Linked DNA regions of Neodiprion lecontei. The protein of the gene in region 1 purifies or fractionates together with the protein of each later gene. This does not show direct contact. Links are inferred from orthologs where the notes say so. Each region holds a gene or a part of one and is shown in the gene's direction. Other genes may lie near its edges.

Region 1 (4,024 bases):
CGTTTCTGATAGGTTCTCATAATACTCTATGAGTTGAGTTTGAGTAAACGGCTACCAATATTTATGAGAAATTTTAGTGACAGATACACATAGTTTTCTCAACAAATTCTTATGAGACTTTATGATTTGTTTTTCATCAAGGCTTAACGACGTTACGCAGCCAGTCAAAATTCGGTTGCGTTGCGTGCCTGGATAGTCTATTAGGTTTTTCAGAGTTTGGTAACGTCGCGTAGTGTTATTGTGAAAAAATCGTATACTCTTCGAAATGAGTAAGGTTGGCACCGAAAATAATGACGTTACTGAAGAAAAAAAAACGAACAAGTCTTATGGAAAGAAAAGCTAGTTTCTGAAAAAGTTTATAAAAAAACGAATAGAACAGAAAATCGGAACAAACATTCCAAATATTTATGGCACTCGTAAACATAACATTCAATGTCGTTCAATACATTCGTGAGATTAGATCTAAACAAATATTTTCACCTTTAGGTCCTCGCTTGGCCGGTATCTAGAAACTGATCTCCAAAACCATGTAAGTGATTACAGGTACCATGTGAAAGCTTTGAACGTTACTAAACTACATTGTACCTGTATATGTATAATAATACAAAAGTACAATTTTCTCTAATGATGTTACGACAACTTTGTTTATCACTATATATACTTCCAAGATCTGTCATCCATAGAACCCATTTTTTTTTGTTCATAATCGAAAAGTAACTCTAATCCAGCTATTGTTGTTGCCAGGTGACAACATGTCATGACCTAGACAGCTGGATACAACTTCAGACATGTATACATTTTTTTAAATAATTTTTTCCAATATCATAGAAGTGGTAAATAATTCTGAAATATCTTTGTCCATTATGATTAGACTTGCTTCTACTCCCAAACAAACTTTCAACGACATTCCAATGTCGCTTCATTACAAATTTAACGACTAAATTTAATTGTCGTCGATTCCTACATAATAATACGTGTAAAATGAGCAAAGCAATATTTGCTTATACCCCATAAACAATCCCGTGAATCAATAAAAAATTTTAATCTGGCGATTGAATTGCATAACTATTGAATTTCGAGCGAATGTCGACAAGGATCGCTATCCGCGGCTTGATGTATACTCGGTTGCCTATATGCCAGCGCTTAGCGAGATCTCTTTTAACCGGTCGTATCTCGCGAACGCGACTTCGTAGGTCACATGTTCTTTCGTTTAATTTACTCAGTTCAACCGCCTATATAACCCCTATCAGTTTGGTCACTTGATGCTAGGTCACCGTGTACATAGAGCAGCAAAATTAGGTTGAGGAAGATCTATGATTCGATTAAAATTATTCCAATTATGTTTGCACCGATACGCGATTCCACATGTACGAAAACGTGGTACGGACCGTTCACGAGGCAAAAAAATGCGAGGGAGATTAAAGAATGGCAATGTTATCGCTCAGACATATTTGAAATCGTAACGGTCGTCAGACAATTGGCGGTTGTGATAAAAATGATATTCACACAAAAGTTTGAACTGCGGCTTACCGTTTTTGGCTTTGTGATCTTCATCAGAATTGTTCACAACGGAACGTGGCATTGTTTGACATATTAAAATAACAAACTAATAACGATGCATACACGAAACGACGTTCAACCGTGCACAAATAGAACTCTTATAAGTACTCAACCACCTCCGACCAGTCCCCGCAGTCGAAGATTCGAGCCGCGTAACCGGTGTAACATACCGATTATTATCGATTAGTTTTTCTCAGAGTCACCAGATGGCGTTGCGAAAAAGTCTGTGCCACTGATCTTTAGTTATAATAGAGATCCAGTGGTCTGTGCACGTGTGATCCTCTACTTTGGTTCTCTCGTTAAACGTAGTATACCTTCGTTACTCTATACGTTGTTTGTGGTTCAGCTGTTCAATACTATTGTGTATATTTTATTACCACGTTTGGTGAATGTAATTATTCACTGAAATGGAGACTGCTTTCGGGTTTTGCGACCTATGCATAAATGCAGAAATTGTAAATAAAAATACATTACATAAAGTGCTGGATAAATTATATGAAAGTATGTACGTATGAACAAAAATTCTCATTTCATTTGATGTAAATAGAAAACAAATGAAGATCAATCAGAATCTACAACTATGACATATCGTAATGTTTTTCTTCAATTCTCACCAGTGGGTTATTCAACAGTAGCAATCAACCGAACAATAGAAGAGACAGTTTTCGAATCTGAAAAGAAAAACAAGAAAAAGGCCGGTGACAATGAAGCTCTGGGAGTTACTGTCCCGAGTCCTCCAGACATCGCTGATCTAATTTCAGAATATGCTGGAAAGCTTCGTATTTTAAATCGTCTTACGTTCGTGTTCGGAGATCCCACAAGAACCCATACGCTGGTAAACACGTTATAAAAGTCTGTAAAAAGTTGATCCGATATAATCTCAGCAATTCTAAGGCACTGAGAATAGGTATTTTAAATTTAATTTATTTTTTTGAATTCAAGTATTTAAATTTGTTCAATATTTTCAGAATCAATCATCGAGTCTGAGAAAGTATGACTTATACGCTGTTGTACCTAAAACACAAGCAGCATTTCAGGTACGTTGGTAAGATTTGCACGATGACTACTATATAAGTTTGGTACTGCGGATTAATTTATGATTTTCTTGATACTTCTTTTCTTTTTTCCAGTTTGCTTGCTCCCAACTCAATACAGACATCGTATTATTAAACAGAAATTGTGTTGGGCTAAAGTTGAGCAGGAAGTTATATTTACAAGCTGTAGAGAGAGGAATTAATTTTGAAATTCAGTACTGCGATGTTATTAGTAGTGCGAGCAGAAAGTTTGCTATACATTACTCCCATCTGTTCCACATGTTTGGCAAAAGCAAAGTAATTTTTTCTTTCTATAAATGGATCGGCACCTGCTTGTCAAAATTTTTCTGCATCATGGTTATTCTTTCAGAACATCTTCATCAGTAGCGGAGCTTCAATTGAAACCCAAATTAGGAGTCCTTATGATATAATAAATTTGTATCCTTTGAAGAATTTATCAAGTATATTTGAATTCAACTGGGTATTACAGTAGCCAATTTCTGAAGTTTGGTGGTTTGAAAATTATTGAGTGCTGATTCTACATCTGTTATATTCCTTAGTCATTTTTATGCTAGAGCTTCTATTCTGGGAATGAATGAGACAAAAGCTAAAGCTTCAATCCTCTCACAGAGTCGATATGTCATTTTGAGAGCAGGTGGGTCGATATAATTATGATAGAAATTTTTTAATAACAATAATGACATATTTTTACACTGAGTTTAGAAGGAAGACGCTATGGAAAAGCAGTTTTTCGAATACAAACATGTAGCACCGAAAAAAGAGAGATGGAATCGGAAATGGAAATAGAAGCGGAGGAAACAGACGATGAACATGGTGACACTTGTACCGAAGCAAAAAAAATAAAACTGTGATCAGTCGGGAGAGTAATTTGTGAAAAATAAAATTGATCCATACGATTTGAGTAGACTATATTTTAAAAGATAAAGATTTGTTACATAACTGGTATTTCAATAATATGTACTTATTTTTTGTTATTACTAGCGGGGGAAATAATTTACACACTTATCCATTGGTATTTTACATCTGGTAGCTATATCTAAGATCTGTTATGATTAAATTAAATTTAATCTTAATTTAGCATTAACATATCAACGAAAATTTTCTTAACGCAATTATCCACAGTTTTACATATTGTTGGAAAAATCTTCGTATTTAATGTACTTTATAGGGATAATAATAAAAACAATATTGAACAGATAGCATATTATACATTCCACAGACGAACACAGACTCGAACTGTTTCTAAACAGAATGATGCAAAGAGGAAATGAAAATGAGCAAAAGTAAACTTTTACTGTAAGTTTATAGATTTTTAATTGCTATCGGAAGCAAATTATTTACAGACTATTCTCCTTTTGAACACCTTTCAACTTCAGTCTTTGAAATAGGACACAGCGGACATATTCCCT
Region 2 (4,686 bases), about 1.8 Mb from region 1:
AAGACTCCTGGAGCTCGAGCCAACGGCGACGTTGCCGAGGGGCATGACCCCCTAATTCAACGCGCACCTTTCCTCTGACGTCACAACCGTGTTACGTCACATTGTGTGCGGGGTTACGAACCTTCGATTAAACCAGTGAAACGCCTTTTCTTAGCCTAAAATATCCACAGTTGTGTGCGATATACGCAAGGCTTACGAAATGTGCAAACATGTGTATATACGCAGTATAAGGTGCGCGTATCCGTCACGCCGCTAATTACGCCGCTAAGGTGTATTATATTTGACAATTAATTAAGGTACGGTGTTTGACCGGGAAGAAATTGAGGTGTTGCATAACAAGAATGATAAATTAGAATGCGAGTTACCTATGAAACGTGAAAACAATCTGCATCCGAGAAATACTTTTCTTTTTTCACTCTTTGTCGGTATCCGATTACAGGAAACAAGATTTTCCATCAATATGAAGATCACCGAGAACAAAGCTACGATGTTAAATTTCTGTATCCCTCGAAATAATCTTTGTACAAAATCAAATTATTTCAGAGGGTTATTCAACTTCCGAGAAATAACTCTTCCGACTTAAGAGGTTTTGACGAGTGTACAGGTATACAACAATTTTCACAGTATTTATTTACTTGTTTGAGACAAATATTGACCCCCGTAAAATTAGTATCTCAAACCCTTGGTAGAACTTCTTCTCTACGGTCTGGGGAAAAAGAAAGACAGATTTCGAAACGAACTTTTTCAATCCTTTCCTTATTGTATAAAACGATTGCCTCATACTTTGGAAAGGAAAAAATTGCGTCCCGTATTTTTGAAGAAGAATCCTCACTTCGAATTCACAACTTTCGTATCAAATAATGAACTTTGGCAATACTTTAAACATACTCATATTATGACGGATATAATTATATTATAGAGATTCAATTTCATCGGGCTAATTGTGCCTGAATGAGAGAAAACGTTGTTCCTTCTCATAACAGTCATCGAGTAACATTCCGTAAAGCATATAACAATATAAAATAAGCAATTGTAACGAATAAATTTTGAGAATTGAAGTAGAATTTTAATTCGTGATACGCACGAGGATTGATTAACGAATTGACTTCCACGAACTTTTTATATTGCTAGTACTTCTCATCTAACAATTGTCCACATTCTTCGCTGACTTGTATCCCCCAACCCCGTTACTTTTATTCATTTCAGAGAGCTTATTATTTATTGCTCACACGTTACATACGAATCATTGTCCATATAATGCGCCAATAAACGTCAAGTCGGCAAAAATGTGGAAAATTGGATAAACACGCAACTTTGCGACTATACTTATATACTACCTCAATCGTGGGAAGTTGATTTACCCACGTGTATATCTATGTTTAAAAAACATGTCTGCTATCGCTGCAGGAGATATTATATTCCCGGAAATGCGTTCGTACTGTAGAAAAAAAAACCATCCGAATAAACTATGTAACAAAGACTAACGAGAAAATGAATAAGTGTGGAATGAAAGACGGAAACCAAAAAACTCGCTATAAGAACCCTGTGTAATAATAATATTAATGTAAGTGACGAGAATATTTTATTATGGTGTAAAATATACACTATACAATTGAAATGAAAATATTCCAATTTTATTTGTATATAGTGTAATATACGTACAAGTATTTACGTTACTTTATACGAGAATCAAATAGGTATTTTAGGCTGTGACGTGAGTAATGTATCGAGAATATATTAACACGAGTAAACTAATTAGAACATTAGAAGAATAAAATTATAGCTTTCTTTGCCGTATTTATATTCTTATTTATTAAATATACGAATAATGATGAAAAATCCAGTCGAATTTGAGTGACAGGATATTTGATTTTTGACGCAGGTACGCGAAAATACGCCATTTTGGTATTACGGGTTTCGCTCGAGATTCAATCAAAACAATTTCAATTCATCAACACGCGTTATAATTGGAGAATTTGTCGTGTATGCGTCAATCGGTTTGTACGTATTTTAAATATACTTGATTTGTACGGGTATTATTCCTAGGTATAGCATTTGATGTGTAAATTGCGCCGGTCGCAAGTGGGGTACATAAAAAAACAAAGAAAACTATATTGCAAATAATATGGTGTACTATTACTTATACATATAATTATGGGCATTGTTACGAAAACGTACACGTCTCTGCTAGTTTCGTAATAAAATGAGAAAATAATAAACGGTCGATTATTTGTTTCATAAGGACAAATAACTCATTATCTTATCTTCCTTGTTTCTTAAATCAGCTGTGTCGAATGAAGTTTCGACCGTGCGCAGTAACAATACAATGCAACAATATACGACCAGTCACATGTAATACTTTGGTAACCATAGAAATGGTTCCATTCTACGGACACATTGAAAAATAATCAACTGCCGATCAGCACAAATCGTATGAAAAACTCACTTACCAGTGCTTTGGCACCTCGTCAATTCCCTCTTCGAGTTGCCGATAATTGTCTTTCACATCGACGCGTGCAACGAATCATTTCACAAAATTGCAATAGAGCAAGCAAATCAGTTTTTTGAACATTAATCACACGTATATTTATTCGAAAAACAAGATGGATTCTGAGGAAACGAACATCCGAAATAACCGAACTAGAAATCGCGCCTGTTATACTCACGTGTTGATCGAAACAATGGAGAATTTATATTTGTACCAACGCGAGTAAATCCAATTCTACGATTAATTATTACAAGGCAGCCTGTCAGTATCTATAAATTATGTAAACCGCACTGATGCCGACACGTGTTAGTTTCTTTTGAAAAATTAATGAAACAAATGCACATCGGCGAGCTACAACGAATTCAGATCTAATTTAACAGTTGCGACCAACTTCATGGACAAGGTTGCAATATTACGAAATACCAGATTCATCAGACGATGGAAATCTATGTTGAATCAGGGAAAAATTCCGGTAAAACTAACCGAAACCGGTGACTGCTGATTGTGAAACTAACACACCGAGTCCTGCAAACGCGACGCGTTCTGACTTGTCAACTCTAGAATCTAGATGTTCGATGTCGCGTCAGCTGATGCTCCTTTGTTTGATATAAGGGAGCGCCGTTTCGACGCACGCGGCGGTTGTTGGAACTAACTTTGTAATAAGTTTCTAGGCTTCTGTCTAAAGGGTCTAAAGCCAGACTCGAAGAAATTTAATGCGTGGACTGTACTACATACATGCCTATGTATACCGTACGTATGCATATATCACTGATCTGTGGTACGTACGCATGAGCGCATATGCGACGGCCGTCACAATAAAGTTTAATTTAATACATAGAAAACAGCTGTTCGAAACGTAAGCGTACGAAGTTTATCTGAATTATTTTCCATCGTTCCCAATACGAGGATCGCTGTATTATGTCAATAACGAAATAAAATACAATACAAGACTAGGCGTAATACGCAATTGGATAGCTTTTCGGTGTTTCCTTGGTTCTTACCTTTCTGACTGACAATAACCGCAATGCCTGTTCGTACGACGCGGTGTACGCATTTTCATTAATAATCGGGAAATGCTGTGCCCAGAAGTGTGGGACTTTAAAGCCCCGCAGCACTACTTCAAGGTCGATCATTCGGATTGTTTAACAAAGAACGTGACGGGCGTGATTAGAAAACACTATTTCAACCACTCGGTAAGCGGTATAACGCGATCTCGCGATTATAAATTATAGGTTAGGTTGATTTTATTATGCTGCGCTGCGTAGCTGTAACGAGAGATTTACGTAATTTTAAATAATTCTTGGATTATTGCCAGGTATCTGTCGTCATTCCTGATACAGTTAATTTACCACCGCATTATTTCGAATCGTTCAACGAAGACAACGACTATTACAGAGTCAACAATTTATCAGCATCCGAACTGGTTGACAAAGAATTCATCGAGGCCTTTGTGAAAAACGGTAATTCAATATTTCCACCAATTTTTCATTATAATTTTAAAACACTTCGTTGCACTTTTTCTACTCTTGATTTCCCGCCGGTGAAACACTAATAGGATGGAAAATTTTCCGTGTTTCTTAACTTACAATCGATCTGCAAACGCCATTTTTAGCAAATTTTCAGAACCTTGTATGCATTTGTTTATCAGCAGGTAGTTAAAAAAAATAAACTGTCCGCCACGGAATTTTCATTTTTCCACTACTTCTTTTGACAGAAACAACTTTTTCTTTTCGCCATCAGGTTTAATTATACAGAATTATTTTCAATAGCATCTGTAGTAGATTACTTTGCATGTATGCAAAAATTATTTAACAGAGCTGCCTTTTTAACTGGCTACTTTTTGTAACTGAATATCATCTAAGAACAATTTCAGGTGAGGTCAGTGTGCTGGCAATAGAGAGTCACATCGACACCCAGAATTCACTCGCTGTAACTCCGTCTGGCCATTTGATACTTTCCTTGGTTAAAGAAGATTTCCAAACACTCGGTATCGAGGGAAAACCTTCGTTCTTCGACCGTAATATCAAAAATCGCTTTGGTGAGTTATTGGAAAGCTAAATAAAATCTCTAAATAATAAAGGATAAGTGACAAACGGAAAACTTAAGGGGTATCAGATTGACAAAATGCCAAAGAAACACCAAATAGCTTCGCTGGAAGAATTGGCCCTCAGGTCGGTTGGCCAATTCGTAACTGATGT
Region 3 (5,388 bases), on another chromosome or scaffold:
CATGGGCATTCGAAATTCCAAATTGATCGGTATGGGCTTTTCGGAACTATACCAAAACAGGGTGCTGAACCAAAAAATGAAGTAAAATTCACAATGTCACATTTACCTAGTCTTTTTACACATGTTATTTATATCGCAAAAGCAGAAGAATAATAAAAGAATTGCAACAGAGCATTATCTATGAAGAGGAAAAAGCCACTAAACCATAGACTGCTAGTAATCGTTCAATATATGTTTTTTTGTTATTACATTCCAGCAATGCCAGATGTGATTCACGCAGTAGCTAAATATGAGGTAGAAACAGAGCCCCGTGAAGTCTACTTTTTCCGAGAAGGAACTGTTGTTTTTTGGAATATGTCAGAACTTGAAAGTGGAAATTTACTGAGATTCTTGAAATCCTATGAACAACATAGTTATGCTGATAAACTGGTGCAGTCAGAGAGTGAACTAATGCTGTACACGCATTTAGAATCTAGGTAAGATATCAGAATGGTTGAAGTGTTTTTGATTGCGCCGATCTTTATTCCAATTTGTATTGCCGATTGATATAAGTCCTAATTAACGGATGCTCAATGTATGTACCTGACAACCTGATTTTTGGTATACGTTACAGTAAAAAGAGCCATTTGAAAGAAGGAAATATCATGTTGGCACCAAATGCCACAGACTTGGATAAATACACATTCTCAAATGCAATTGCACTCTCTGTCAAACTTGGCATATGGGAAGCATCACTAGACCGTTATGTGGATTCAATTGCTTTTGTTACTGATGATCTGAAATCTGGTCGTCCAATAAAAATGAGCAGAGAAGAAGTTCTGCGAAAGCAAGGCGAATTATTTGCGCTCAGGCATATGATCAACTTGAGTTCCGACCTTTTAGATACCCCAGATTTTTACTGGGAAAGAGATGAATTGGAAAATTTATTCCAACAAACGTGTAGTTATTTCAGTATTGCCAAACGTACTCGGGTATGTGAAATTATAGTAATACACAATATGTCAATCAATTTAATTTCGTACTAGCGAAATATAAAACTGCTTAAACATTTCTCCATTGTTAACGAATTCGAATTGAAATCTTAGATTACCTTTGTATTATAAATTCAATTATGGATCTGACCAATATTTTATATAGAATAATATACATGATTTCTGTCCACAGGTGATGAATGAGAAACTGAATCATTGCGTTGAACTTGTAGAACTTTTGTCATCCCATCTTAGCGATCGTCATCACGTTCGTTTAGAATGGATGATAATTGTATTAATTATGGTTGAGGTAGTATTTGAAATACTACATTACATCGATCGTTATTTTGCCGATCAACCCCAAACATCTGAAGTGTTGACCTCCTAGTTACACTCTAATATCAATTAAAATATCTATGTATATATATATATATATATATATCATTTTCAGCGAGTAATTTCTACAATAGCAGGTTATAAATACTGTAAATATATAGATAATTTGCGTTTATAAAGTATAAATAGTTACTTATTTGTTATTTGCCACATATGTTGTCTTTACAATAATAAGAGAAACAAATGTATAAGGAATTGAAAACTGTTGTAATGATGATTAGATTTATTTTAGTTATCAGGCTCATGCATTATAGGGGCATTGCCTAATTTTAATTTTGAGAACTTTCGTATTGACTTTTCAATGCTGTGTAACATGTGTTATCTGTTACACAAAATAAAAACAAAGTAGAAAAATAAAATTCTCTACCCTAAATACATTTTTTGATAGAAATAGCTGCAGATTCCAAGAATATGAATATTTTTCGAAAAGAATTTTTAAGGCGACTCGATGTTTCAAATTTTCAAATCGAGATGAATCGAAAACGTAAACATGTGTCGCTGCATGTCAGATCCAAAGGTCAGATCGACCTAGGTATATGAAGCTAGCCTGTGAACTTCGAATTTCTTAAAAATTTTCACGAAATTCCTATGTTGCAGGCCAACTTTACTTTCCTGCCTTTCTTATAAATTGTCATAAACTACACCATGTTATAAACCATAAACGTCAATTACTCGTCAACTTACCATGTGCGTGCGATGTGCACGTGACAGCTGCGTTTGATTCGTGATTGCTTATGCTAACTAGAACTCAAGTGGGACCTTATGATCTGTCATTTCTGTTCTTTGGTAGGCATTCGTGATTCAAGTTTTGATCACACATTATTTATTTCGATTTTATATCGTAGGAATTAGAGAGAGTTTATAGGGAGGGGAAACACAGTGAGTTTAGGTTAGATTGCAGCAAGAATCTTCGGAAAATTTATTGAAACCATGTCGGGTAAGATGCCTTTGTTGAACGTTTTAATTAGCTGCAATACAGAATTGTTCATATTCAGATTCAACTATCCGTAATTTGTATTCTTCCAGACAACGTGTGTCTTCAACTTCCAGTGTCAGTGGTTAACCGTGCAACAACATCGACGGATCGCAGTGAATATCTTTTAAATCTTTTAGAAAATATCTTACCACCCTCAGATACTAAATCAGTTAATGAAGAATTGAAAAAGGTAATAAGAATAAAAATTTTACTTCCTTTGTTCCATTCATCAGTCATCTTTTAACATTTTTCACTTTTCAGACATTCACTTTCAACAAATACAGAACAAAGCATGTTCGCCGTAAACCAAAGAAGGTAACATTTTTAACAGCCAGAAAAAGATCAGAACTTGGCTTAAATAAATTGGATAACAGGATTAACTTGAAATACGTTGATGCATTAGCATTGAACCAGCTGTGGCTAGAATACATGCGACAAATGCTTGGTGTTAACAATTTCACTGATTTACCGCAAGGACCAGTCGAACCAAATTGGGACAACATTGGTCAACAATTGCTAAAGGCTGACTTCCATGGAGCAAAAATTGTTGTCATTAGATCTAAATGCCCAAGTTTGGTAGGCATTCATGGCATTGTATTGCAAGACACTAAATGTACCTTCAGAGTTATTGGAGAGGATAGTATTATCCGAAGTAAGACAACTCTGAATTTTAGCATTGAAATCTAATTCTATTGGAAACAAAACTTCTGATTTTTATTGAATAATTTATCAAGATTTGTGCCTAAAGTTACCATGCATACAAAATTTGCACAAGCCTACAAAAAAATGTTAAGACATCCTCATTAGTTACATGCACTTAAGTATATTATTCGATGAGAACGAAAAGGGATAAGAAAAGATATGCGATTAGCAGTATACAATGAAAGATTTTAAAGTTGCTTTCTGTAAACCATCATGAAAATATTAACGCTTTTTTTTCTTGTAGCAATTCCAAAAGACACAGCTGTATTCAAGATATGTTTGGGCAATGTGAATTTACAATTGTTTGGCAGAGAGTTGTGTGTCAGACCTGCTGAGAGATCAGTGAAAAAATTTAAAAGTGCTCGTGTACCTGATTTATAACATAATTACGATTATGAAAATACAAATATTGCTAAAATTTTCTTGAGTACTTTTAATGACTTATCAAATATCACAAATGAGGCTTTCCCATAGTCAAGAGATACGTGCATAAAATTGTATCTTTAACAAGTACGTTGTGCATTTTAATTTTTAATTTTTTTATAATTTTTATAAAAAATGTTTAGTGACGAATATCATTTGTTACTGGTTAATTAATATGGGAATGTGTATGATAAGAAAATGAAAATATGTTCGTCAAACAGGCATTTGTTTATTTCTCACTGTGCATATCCACTTGACACAGTTGTTATATCTTACAGCAAAAACAATTGAATGCAATCCAGTTCTTCGATCATCCATTCTCGATAATTACCTTTTGTATCATTTATTCATTTTTTTTTTTTTCAATAATATTAATTCATATCATATTTTTGTCTACTACTTACATGTTACACTAAATACCAATATAATATATAATAATATAATTATATATTTATAATATATATGTATAATTACTAATAATCCTTGCTTTTTTGTTTGCTTTTTGCAATAATTAGTTATAATAGTATTTCAAAATATTCAAATAATCATGATATTATAATAACAATTTGCGATGCGGATTGGTTAAATCCTTATTCAAATAATAAATCACTAACCACTTCATTTCCAAAAATTTCATTCACGATCAATTTGATTTAGCTATGTTGAAAAGATAAGTGCAATGATGGAGTTTTGGGATTGTCGCGTACCTTTCGCACGCACCACCAGTTCCTAACGAATTCTTACAATTTATTTACCATAATTTAAAGGATCAGTAAACCAATTACACAGGCCTGAAGAATCAGAAACGCAACTAAGAATTCTACCCTAATCGATCCCTCACGAGAAATAATTAGTGTATTTGAGTTTAAAGCATCCCTCAACATGCAGTTAATAATTAATAACGATGCTCTTGTCATGAGATTTGGATTAATGTTCATATACCCACCGAATCAGACTCGTGTTACGTGTTCACTGTCCCATTCAATAATCAGGGGCAATCTACAATTATCACTGCGTTACGTTAAGGCGTATAACTTATTGAAACAATTTTTTTCCAAATAATCAACGTGTTAATCATGCCGTCAGTACACTTTTCAACGGATCAGTTAAACGTACACAGTATGCTGGCAAAAGATAGGTATTTTGCGACGTACCACTGTAAATATTTATTCAGCTACTATAGAACGGTAGCTTCCGAATTTAATTTAAATGACAAATCAGCCACTATTTCTATGAATCATCAATAAAATGTTAATTCAACATTTTTTTTACAGGTTAAATGATTGCTATTGAAGTGTGGTGGACAAATGCTATCGCAGTATTAACATCATTTAAAAATCAATTGATATTCTTGCTCCTGTCATCCATGCAATTCCGATTATTAAGGAAGACACTTTCCTTAAAAAATTTTAAGCCTATTGTATTCAGATCAACTGTTAGCACAGCGTAAACTGGAGCTTATTAAATAATTCGGAACGATTTTTAAATCGTGTCATTACTTCGGGCATATCATTTTTTTAATAGCCATGTAAAAAATTCTGCCATTAAACAACTGCGGATATGTCAAGGACATATAATTATAGCCCCCCTCAACGTTCTTGATTGCCCCGGTAAATTGTCAATTCGATACTATTGTTACTCAATTATGTAAAGCAGCCTAATGAACATACCATATACATATTATATACTTTATTTTTTCAATTATTCATAAATCCTCTAATTAATACTAATTTTTGTTGCGCCCACAAAATGCTTTTTTTTAGGAATAACTGTATTAATAATTATTTTTCATTTTTTTTTTTTTTTTTTTTTACATGAGACGTTTTTTGAGATTGAATAGTTGACAATTATTACAGCGGTAGATGATGTTTTATAGAATACATGTTTCTAGTTTTACTAGTTTATTAATTTTCTCCTTCA

Evidence for each region.
Region 2: the proteins of ribonuclease P protein subunit p30 (region 1) and ribonuclease P protein subunit p40 purify together in Homo sapiens (affinity purification with mass spectrometry; 3 studies listed by BioGRID and IntAct, counting the BioPlex papers as one, with this or other methods). This does not show direct contact. The link is inferred for Neodiprion lecontei from reciprocal best matches to the Homo sapiens genes RPP30 and RPP40.
Region 3: the proteins of ribonuclease P protein subunit p30 (region 1) and ribonuclease P protein subunit p29 purify together in Homo sapiens (affinity purification with mass spectrometry; 4 studies listed by BioGRID and IntAct, counting the BioPlex papers as one, with this or other methods). This does not show direct contact. The link is inferred for Neodiprion lecontei from reciprocal best matches to the Homo sapiens genes RPP30 and POP4.

The regions. Positions count from the first base shown.
Region 1 is NC_060261.1:32,863,984-32,868,007, forward strand, and holds ribonuclease P protein subunit p30, read left to right. Parts: upstream 1-1,803; 5' UTR 1,804-1,967; coding exon 1,968-2,061; coding exon of another isoform or gene 2,062-2,065; intron 2,066-2,177; coding exon 2,178-2,395; intron 2,396-2,528; coding exon 2,529-2,597; intron 2,598-2,690; coding exon 2,691-2,891; intron 2,892-2,964; coding exon 2,965-3,032; intron 3,033-3,169; coding exon 3,170-3,249; intron 3,250-3,317; coding exon 3,318-3,466; 3' UTR 3,467-3,482; downstream 3,483-4,024. UniProt on the Homo sapiens protein: Component of ribonuclease P, a ribonucleoprotein complex that generates mature tRNA molecules by cleaving their 5'-ends. Also a component of the MRP ribonuclease complex, which cleaves pre-rRNA sequences.
Region 2 is NC_060261.1:34,620,712-34,625,397, forward strand, and holds the start of ribonuclease P protein subunit p40, read left to right. Parts: upstream 1-1,657; 5' UTR 1,658-3,561; coding exon 3,562-3,681; intron 3,682-3,803; coding exon 3,804-3,948; intron 3,949-4,361; coding exon 4,362-4,526; exon of another isoform or gene 4,527-4,612; coding exon of another isoform or gene 4,613-4,686. Other genes in the region: uncharacterized protein LOC107219723, read left to right, coding at 1-78; uncharacterized protein LOC107219755, read left to right, coding at 4,613-4,686. UniProt on the Homo sapiens protein: Component of ribonuclease P, a ribonucleoprotein complex that generates mature tRNA molecules by cleaving their 5'-ends. Also a component of the MRP ribonuclease complex, which cleaves pre-rRNA sequences.
Region 3 is NC_060262.1:35,015,061-35,020,448, reverse strand, and holds ribonuclease P protein subunit p29, read left to right. Parts: upstream 1-1,900; 5' UTR 1,901-2,101; coding exon 2,102-2,153; exon of another isoform or gene 2,154-2,297; coding exon of another isoform or gene 2,298-2,304; intron 2,305-2,393; coding exon 2,394-2,533; intron 2,534-2,604; coding exon 2,605-2,995; intron 2,996-3,289; coding exon 3,290-3,426; 3' UTR 3,427-4,859; downstream 4,860-5,388. Other genes in the region: required for meiotic nuclear division protein 1 homolog, read left to right, coding at 257-476, 614-971, 1,165-1,359. UniProt on the Homo sapiens protein: Component of ribonuclease P, a ribonucleoprotein complex that generates mature tRNA molecules by cleaving their 5'-ends.